2 linked regions of the Xenopus tropicalis genome follow. Each later gene encodes a partner of the first gene's protein in a complex. Links are inferred from orthologs where the notes say so. Each region holds a gene or a part of one and is shown in the gene's direction. Other genes may lie near its edges.

Region 1 (3,963 bases):
GCTTTGTGGCCTCGTCACAAATCCGGGCCTGTCTGCACCTGCCCCACCACAGGCAGAGAGGCAGAGAGCAGCATGGACAAGGGGTGGAAGGCCTCTCATGAATACAGCGTTGCCAAATACAGGCAGACCAGTGTTCACAGGGGTAGTAATTCTACATTCAAGGAAGGGACACTCTCACACAGTAAAATCATTTACAGTTGTTATACAGGCTCCCCTACACCAGCAGTTCTCAACCTGTGGGTCAGGACCAGGGCCGGATTTCTCTGTGAGGCGCCCCGAGGCCGCCCCTGTGGCTGTCCCCCTCTGCGCATGCGCGAACGCGGCCCCCAGTGCGCATGCGCAAACGCTTCTTTAAACTCCCATACGGAGCAGTGGGGAGAGGTCCCAACTGCTCTGTATGGGAGCCAAATTTAAAAACTTTCTTGCGGCGGGGCGGCATGCCGCCCCTAAACTTCTGCCGCCCTAGGCCCGGGCCTTTGTGGCCTTTCCACAAATCCGGGCCTGGTCAGGACCCCTTTGGGGGTTGAACGACCCTTTCACAGGGGTCGCTTAAGACCATCGGAAAACACATATTTCCGATGGTCTTGGGAACCGAGACACCGCTCCTCCATCTGTCTCCAGGCGGGGCCGCCCACATACGATGAAATCATCGCGCCAACCCCATCACATACACCCCATACAAATACAGGTGTATGTGACAGGGTTGGCGCCATAATGTGCTTATGCAGGCCAGTCACACCTGTAGAAAGCAGCTACTGCGTAGAAAGCAGCTACTCTGTTAAAAGCAGCTACTGTGTTGAAAGCAGCAGTATTGGAGGTAAGCTATGAAGTAGCAACGAAACAATTTTATGGTTGGGGGTCACCACAACATGAGGAACTGTATTAAAGGATTGGCATTAGGAAGGTTGAGAACCATTGTTATACAGGTTCCCCTACACCCTGAGGTATTGGGGGGGGGCAAATGCTCTCTCTGTTTATCCCAGCTGCCGGGACAAGCCAACACTGCACTCACTCCCTGTAGCAAATCCCCTATCCAGCTGCCTGAGCCCAACTCTCCTCCCCTCAGCGCTACCCCCTCCCCCGTGTATCTGTGGGAGGCCCCGGGCGGGCTCTGGGACGGATAATGGGAGGCAAATGTGGGCGGGTCCCACTTTCCTTTCCCTCACAGAGCGGAGCTGAGTGGCGTTACATCTCTATCGCTCTCTCTGTGGCGCTGGGGCTGCACCTTGGGCTTCATTAGTCGGGACATTGGGGACATTTCCAGCGCAGCCTGTGCCGTGGAGGTGCCCGGGAAAAGCGGCGGGTGGGGCCGTGGGTCGCGGTCTAACGCACTATCTGGGGCTGTGTCGCGACATATCGCTGCCATGGGCTGCACCGTGAGCGCAGAAGACAAAGCAGCAGCGGAGAGATCGAAAAACATCGATAAAAACCTGAGGGAGGATGGAGAGAAGGCGGCCAGGGAGGTGAAACTGCTGCTGCTGGGTAACTATCTACTTACTGGCTAGAAACATCTGTCTATAAATCTATATATCTATCTCTATATATCTATCTCTATATAGCCACTCTCGCACAGTCCTCTGTATAGCATGCATCACATGGGTGTAAGGGCTATGGGTGTAAGGGCTATGGGTGTAAGGGCTATGGGTGTAAGGGCTATGGGTGTAAGGGCTATGGGTGTAAGGGCTATGGGTGTAAGGGCTATGGGTGTAAGGGCTATGGGTGTAAGGGCTAGGGGTGTAAGGGCTAGGGGTGTAAGGGCTAGGGGTGTAAGAGCTATGGGAGCCAAATCAGGTTTAGGGCAGGGCAGAGAGGACATGTACCCAGGACCCTCCACCTTCAGCATCACAGGGCACCCTTGGGCGCAGAATGTAGAAAGGAGTACAGAGGGCATATTGTGCTATGAAACAATTATCTTCATTATAAGCCTCAGGCATATCCAGCCTGCAGCCCCCGGCTATTGGTGAACTGCAACTCCCTCTGACAACCATGTTGCGGGGACATTTGTGTGATTTCCTACCCCACATAGATTTCTGGCCCTGCAGGGATCTACGTATATATAAATTCATACTTACTGTGCTAAATAGTGCTCTCATATTGCTGGTCCCTAGTACTGCACCTTATATGTGTAATTACTGGATCATTTGAGCCACTTCCATCTCTGTAGGTTTCTGGTAGAAGCAAGCGTGCCCTCTGCGTGTGTATTAGACATGGTAGTGCAAAGAGGGCCCTGGCTCCAGTAACTCGGGGGCTACTTAGAGTTGTTATATATTTATCTATATACATCAGGGATGTTCTCCAGCCATTGTTAAAATGCAACCCTCAGCATTCACTGACAGCTGACGACATTTGGGTGGAGTGGGGTTGATGAGAGTTGCAGCTCTAAAGGCCACAGTTCCCTGGTCCCTTTCTCAATAATCTCTATCACATCACTTATGGTGCCTCTATCACCCTGTTTTATCCTAATGTATGAAAATCCATCCTATGGCCCTCCACAGGCAACCCCCTGACAACCAATGGCTGCCCCTGCCGTATTTCCTGTAAACATAGATGTGTGGGTTGGAAGGTGGGTATAATGTCATTTTCTCGGAGAACTGGCATTTCCACAGAGAGGGGTCTGGAGCAACAATTGGCCTTTGAATTGGAAAGCAGCATTTTTCTGGGTGCAATAATTGTGTTACTTAATCAGGAACCAATCTGGCCTCACTGGGGAACCAGTATTCAACACACAAATGTGCTTATGCGTATTAAGTTTATTTCCCCTATACACAGACTATTTGGTATTTTCTGTTTATGTATGTTTACCCAACCATCCTGACATCCACGTACTATAGATAATGGTTGCTTTGTCAGTTGGGCAGGTTAGAAAATGTTCTGTGCCAGGGCACCATGTCTGCCTGTGCCTGTGCATGATGCATCAGCAGATGAGGAAGTGCAGATGAGCCACAGATCCTTTTCACTTCCTGCTGTTCTAATCGTTCATGCTGTAGGCCTTAATCAATACAAGACTAGATTGGTAGCCATACCAAAGTGTATTGGCCAGGGTATGGCCACCAGAGCCGGGACAAATTGTTTTTGCACCATAGGCAAAAACTAATTGTCCCAGCACTTACGCACACACAATCTCCCGCCTCCCAGCACTCACTACTTGCAACACTCAGCCTGCTCTCACTTCCAGGCCGGTCGCTGTTTTCCAGCTACCCCCTGCACCCCGCCACTTGCATGGAACAAGCTCTGGTTGTATCCCCTGCATTATGCATGACAATACCAAAAAAAAAAAAAAGTTAGTTATTCACTTTGCTGGGTCAGAACGGGGGGTAGGACTAGGCCAGTGACCCCCAACCTTGGCTATTGCTCCTAGTGGGCTTAAATACGGTCCTTATTTTGTAATTCCTAGCTTTGAGGCAACTTTTGGTTGCATAACAACTGCCAAAAGATTGTTCTGTAGGCTGACAGTCCACATAGGGGCTACAGAATAACCAATCGTAGTCCTTGTGTTTTACCTGTGAGAAGCCTTTTTCATGCTTGTGTTTTAGCGGTGAGGAGCCTCTTTTTACATTTTGAATTTAGGTCACGGGTAAAAATGGTTGGGGATCCCTGGACTAGGTAGAAAATGTAGATGTGCCTAAGGTTCTTGTGCCCCACCAATGTTGCACCCTAGGCACATGCTTCTTCTGTCTACCCCTAGTTCCCGATGGCCACTTTTTAAACCCCACTGTTACCCTTTACAGGTTTGGGCCACATGTATTGTTTGTAGCTGACTACAAATATAATTATACATTGAGACTTATATATAATCGGCCTTAGAACCTCTTAGAAGATTTTTTTTTTTTACTAGGAAATACCCCACCCCCCCAATTTTTTTTTGGAAAAAGAGGCTTTGGGTGTTCCAATAGCATTCATAGAACAATGCAAGTTGTAAGTAGTGAACAGGTTACTAAGCGCTTCCATCCATTTCCTCTTTCA
Region 2 (4,172 bases), on another chromosome or scaffold:
TTTACAGAGGTGCAAGGAATGCATTTTGATGCAAATACCTTTAATAAAAGTGATTTTGGGTGCGACTGACTGTACAGCCCTATAGGCGCTAGCTATCAGTGAAAGAATTTCTCCCTAATGGGTTTGAGTACATGAAAAGTATTTTGGACAAAAGTGACTTCAACTTGCTGATAAAGAAAGGGCACGTTGTGTAATGGAAGAATGTGGAAAATTAAGCAGAAAAGGGAAGCATTTTAACAGCTGTGTGAATTGTGCCACCAGCATTCATATGTCCTGTTTGTGAGAGCTGTACATTGTCAAATACATTGGCAATAAATATGTAAAGGAAAAAGCTTCAATTATTCTTTGATGTTCTGTTTTGGGACAGGCTTTAATGTAGGAAATGGAATGTATGTTGGATGCAAGCAAAGCTTGTGGACACCTGGGGGCACATTTATTAAAATGTGAGTTTAGAACTTAGTACATAAAAACTCCCCCACATTCTATCTATTCCTATGGGATTTTTAGAAGAGTATTTAGAACATTCAAGTTGACCATTTGATAAATACGCTTACAATGCCATACAGACAAAATCCCATAGGAATAAATAGAACATGGGGGAGTTTTTATGTGTTAAGCTTTAAACTCACATTTTGATAAATCTGCCCCTTGGTGTTTGTGAGTGTGGCATGTAGTTTATTTATTGATAGGATGAGGTAAAGGGTGCACAGCATTTTGGGGTTTAGTTATACAGTATTGGAATGAAAAACTCCACATGTGTAATCATATACTCACACCATGTAACTAGCATTAATGATGGAACATTCTTTGTATAAAATATGTACTATGGATATGCATTGATGCAACAGACGAAACACAGTATGGCATCTTATTCACAATTGTATAAACACAAAGTACAGAAAAAACATTTCTGTGCACACACTAAGCTGTGTTTTCATATTTTCATTCGATTCCCATTTTAAGGCAATACATTTACTGTAATTACAATGGGACTTTGTAAGGAGGTTTGTTGAAAATAATGCATTATTATTTGGCATAAATGCAGGGCTAAGTTATTAGCTGTTTCACCTGGCCCATGTCCTTACTTGCCTTCAAGAGTCATTGCCCAGTGAGTGCACAGTTGGAAGGGTGCCCTTTGGTAGTTATGTGCTCATTGTTTGCTATTTATCTATTAGCACTTAATATATTAATCACTTTAGACACTTGTAAATACTCTTAAACCCATATAAATATTTTAGAGAGAACTGATTTCTCAATGTGAACTCTCCAGCAATTGGAAAGCATCACCTCACTAGAATGTGCTGTTTACAGAATGAAGCCAATACTAAAGAAATGTGACAGCACAAAACAAGAAGTGTAAGCTCTCACCATAAATGAGGATGGTACTGTATCTCACAGACATAAAGTAACAGTTTGACACAGGATATTGCAGAAGGAGGAGATGAGCAGTATTTAGAGTAAGTACCCATTATCTGTTTATCAGTGATTTTTCACACAAAAAGTATGTACTGTATACACTAGAGGTTCTTAGCAAAATGTCTGCTAGCTTTCCTGTATGCTACAGCTCTGAGCAACATCAAAGGGGGTGGCGAGCCACTGCTTGGGGATCACTGATCTACAGAGAACCATATTTGTATTAGCCACATGCAACATGGAAGGAGACTGTTTGTTACATCATGAATTTAAGACTAGTTTGAGGGAAGGATATAATAACCAAGTAAGAGGTTTTTTTGCCTGCACTGCCCACTGGCACAAACTACTAAATGTTTGGCCTTGTATTTGCTAATGGGTTCAGTGGATTCATGTGGATTCAGGAAATATTTACAGAAATACATGAAAAATATAAAGTGTCCCGGAGAAATGAATTGCTCACATTGGGCATATGTTTTCTCCCAGCAGGAATGGCATACTCTGCATCAGGTTTAGTAATCCAGTCAACAAGTAGAATTTACTGTTCACATGCACCTGGTTGATATGGTTTACTAAGCCTGGTTAAGTTGTGATTGGTTGCTAGGATTTCAAAAACAGCTAGAGGGTCATATATCAGATTTGAGATTTTTTTTCTCCCCTCAAAGGGCACCCTCTGTAATTCACACATTGGTACAAGCACCTAATATTCAGACACATTTTCACCCACCCTACTAACTCATTGTGATTGTTTAGAAACACTGGGCAAATTTACACCTGGGCAGTAGCCCATGGCAACTAATGAAAAGCTTGCTTTCAATTTTCTACCTGCAGCTGGCTGAAAAATATAATCACAGATTAGTTGCTATGGGTTACTGCCCAGGTGCAAATTTGCCCGTTAAATGAGCCCTACTATGTCTCCCATTATAAATTGTGCAATTTATCACACTATTTACCATGGCTACATTTTTAACGTTACTTTATATCTACATACTGAAATCCACTTGCACAGAAATATGGCGGATATGGTCCATTGCATGTTCCATCACTAATTGTGCTGACCAAGTATAATGAAAAATAAAAGGCTTCAAAGTAAAATTAAGTACCCTTCTTGGTATGAAACGCGTAAGGCTTTTTGTATTGTGTATGAATTTAATAAACTAAATATGCTTTAACTATAAATTGAGCTGCTTTGAAATGCTATACTTTATGCCCAGTGTCACATTTATAAACAGTTGCACAGCAGGTAGGACATGGCCCAGTTGCAGCAACCGCCACAGATGATATGGGCATAGATTTCATTGTGCAGGTGCCTGGCCCAAGTGCTTTGGCTATGGGGTTCTAAGGGCTGTGGTTTTGAGGCCATAGCAACAATAGCCAAAGAGTTGTGACTATTTCTATATGTAGTGTTCCTTTACTCATTACTGCATACAGAAAGAGAAGGGACATGAGTGCCACATTGGTGTCCCTTGGTGCCCCCTTGTCCATGGCAGAGATCCTCCCAAGTGCTGCAACCAGATAACCTCATAATTATCCAGTGGCCTGTGGGGGGGGAAATAAAAATTAATATTATTACCTATAAAAAACACGGCCCTGCAGTAGTGCTGTGTATTCTAAAACAAACAGTCAGCAGATAACCACATATATATACATACACACACACAATGTGGCTTGCAAAAGCATTTCCTTCAATAATCCACACGACCTGATAAGAAACAGGCAAATTACACTGGAAAACAAGATACAAACCTTACCCCACAAGCTGGAATAAAAAATGAAGAAATACACCTGGGAATAGTTTTCTACATGGATTCTCACAGCATTTTAGGGTGAGAGGGCAATGATTAGGCCCCCTGCATTATATAATTTGGGCCAGGAAAGCCACCGGAATTCTTTGTTGATGGGATGGCAGCTGTATTCAGATATATGTATTCAGATATACTAACAAACAATCCAGCTTTTGGATAACAAAGTGTCAAAGTAATGCTTAAATAATATCAAAATAACATAATGGTTATGGGGATAATGTAGATATTTCAGCAAGTTTTGTCGTTTATAAACCACAATTTGTAAAAGAAAAATTAACCTGTCTGTTGTCAAGAGAAGTTTGTGTCTAATGGATTGAATTTTTAATAAAGAAAATAGGGAGAGGGAAGAAATTGCAGGCTGGGGAGATGCATGGTATTGGGCAAGAAGAGAATGGTCAAAAAAGAAGTTACTATCACAGTCATCTTTTTGGGTAAAGCATATACTATACATATATATATTACATATTGGTAATCCTGCTAAGTCAATACAAATCTATTATCCCTAGACGTTTATATCGGAAACATGGTTTGGCAGAGTCTTCCCATTTCTAAATTACTATCTTTATATAAAAACAATAACATACAAATAACAACAGTAAAAAAGTCTGTTTTCTACGCAAATGGTACATACCTAATATTTCTATTCAATTTTTTTAAACCCAAAATCAAATAAGTATTGGATGGGGAACGCAAACTGAGTAATGGGAAGGAGTACTCACAGGAAGCTTTATACCACTTAATTCATTTATTCATGAACTACTACATTTTCAGTTCAAACTGGGGCGCTTATGCAAGGTCAAGGGGAGGCAGCAAAAAGGACTAGTAACTATTTCCATTTGCTTAAAAATTCTGCTCTTTTACTATAGCATAATATAGTGCACCCATCCCACTCCTACTGTGTTCTTCACCTCTAGGGTCAACTACCATTACGCTTGATAAAGAGCGTTCAGCCCAACG

What was found. The genes of interacting proteins can lie anywhere in the genome.
Region 2: the proteins of gnai2 (region 1) and p2ry12 are in contact, whole or in part, in a cryo-EM structure (PDB 7XXI), measured with the Homo sapiens proteins. The link is inferred for Xenopus tropicalis from reciprocal best matches to the Homo sapiens genes GNAI2 and P2RY12. Residues at the interface, in NP_002061.1 of Homo sapiens: Arg24, Glu28, Ala31, Arg32, Leu195, Glu319, Ile320, Tyr321, Phe335, Phe337, Asp338, Ala339, Thr341, Asp342, Ile344, Ile345, Lys346, Asn348, Leu349, Lys350, Asp351, Cys352, Gly353, Leu354, Phe355; in NP_073625.1 of Homo sapiens: Phe59, Asp121, Arg122, Lys125, Thr126, Pro129, Phe130, Thr132, Asn134, Pro135, Ile212, Leu216, Ser219, Tyr220, Arg222, Thr223, Arg224, Val234, Lys237, Ile241, Leu301, Cys302, Lys303.

The regions. Positions count from the first base shown.
Region 1 is NC_030680.2:126,955,866-126,959,828, forward strand, and holds the start of gnai2 (guanine nucleotide-binding protein G(i) subunit alpha-2), read left to right. Parts: upstream 1-1,163; 5' UTR 1,164-1,364; coding exon 1,365-1,482; intron 1,483-3,963. UniProt on the Homo sapiens protein: Guanine nucleotide-binding proteins (G proteins) are involved as modulators or transducers in various transmembrane signaling systems.
Region 2 is NC_030681.2:117,990,535-117,994,706, forward strand, and holds the start of p2ry12 (P2Y purinoceptor 12), read left to right. Parts: upstream 1-1,372; 5' UTR 1,373-1,457; intron 1,458-4,172. UniProt on the Homo sapiens protein: Receptor for ADP and ATP coupled to G-proteins that inhibit the adenylyl cyclase second messenger system. Not activated by UDP and UTP. Required for normal platelet aggregation and blood coagulation.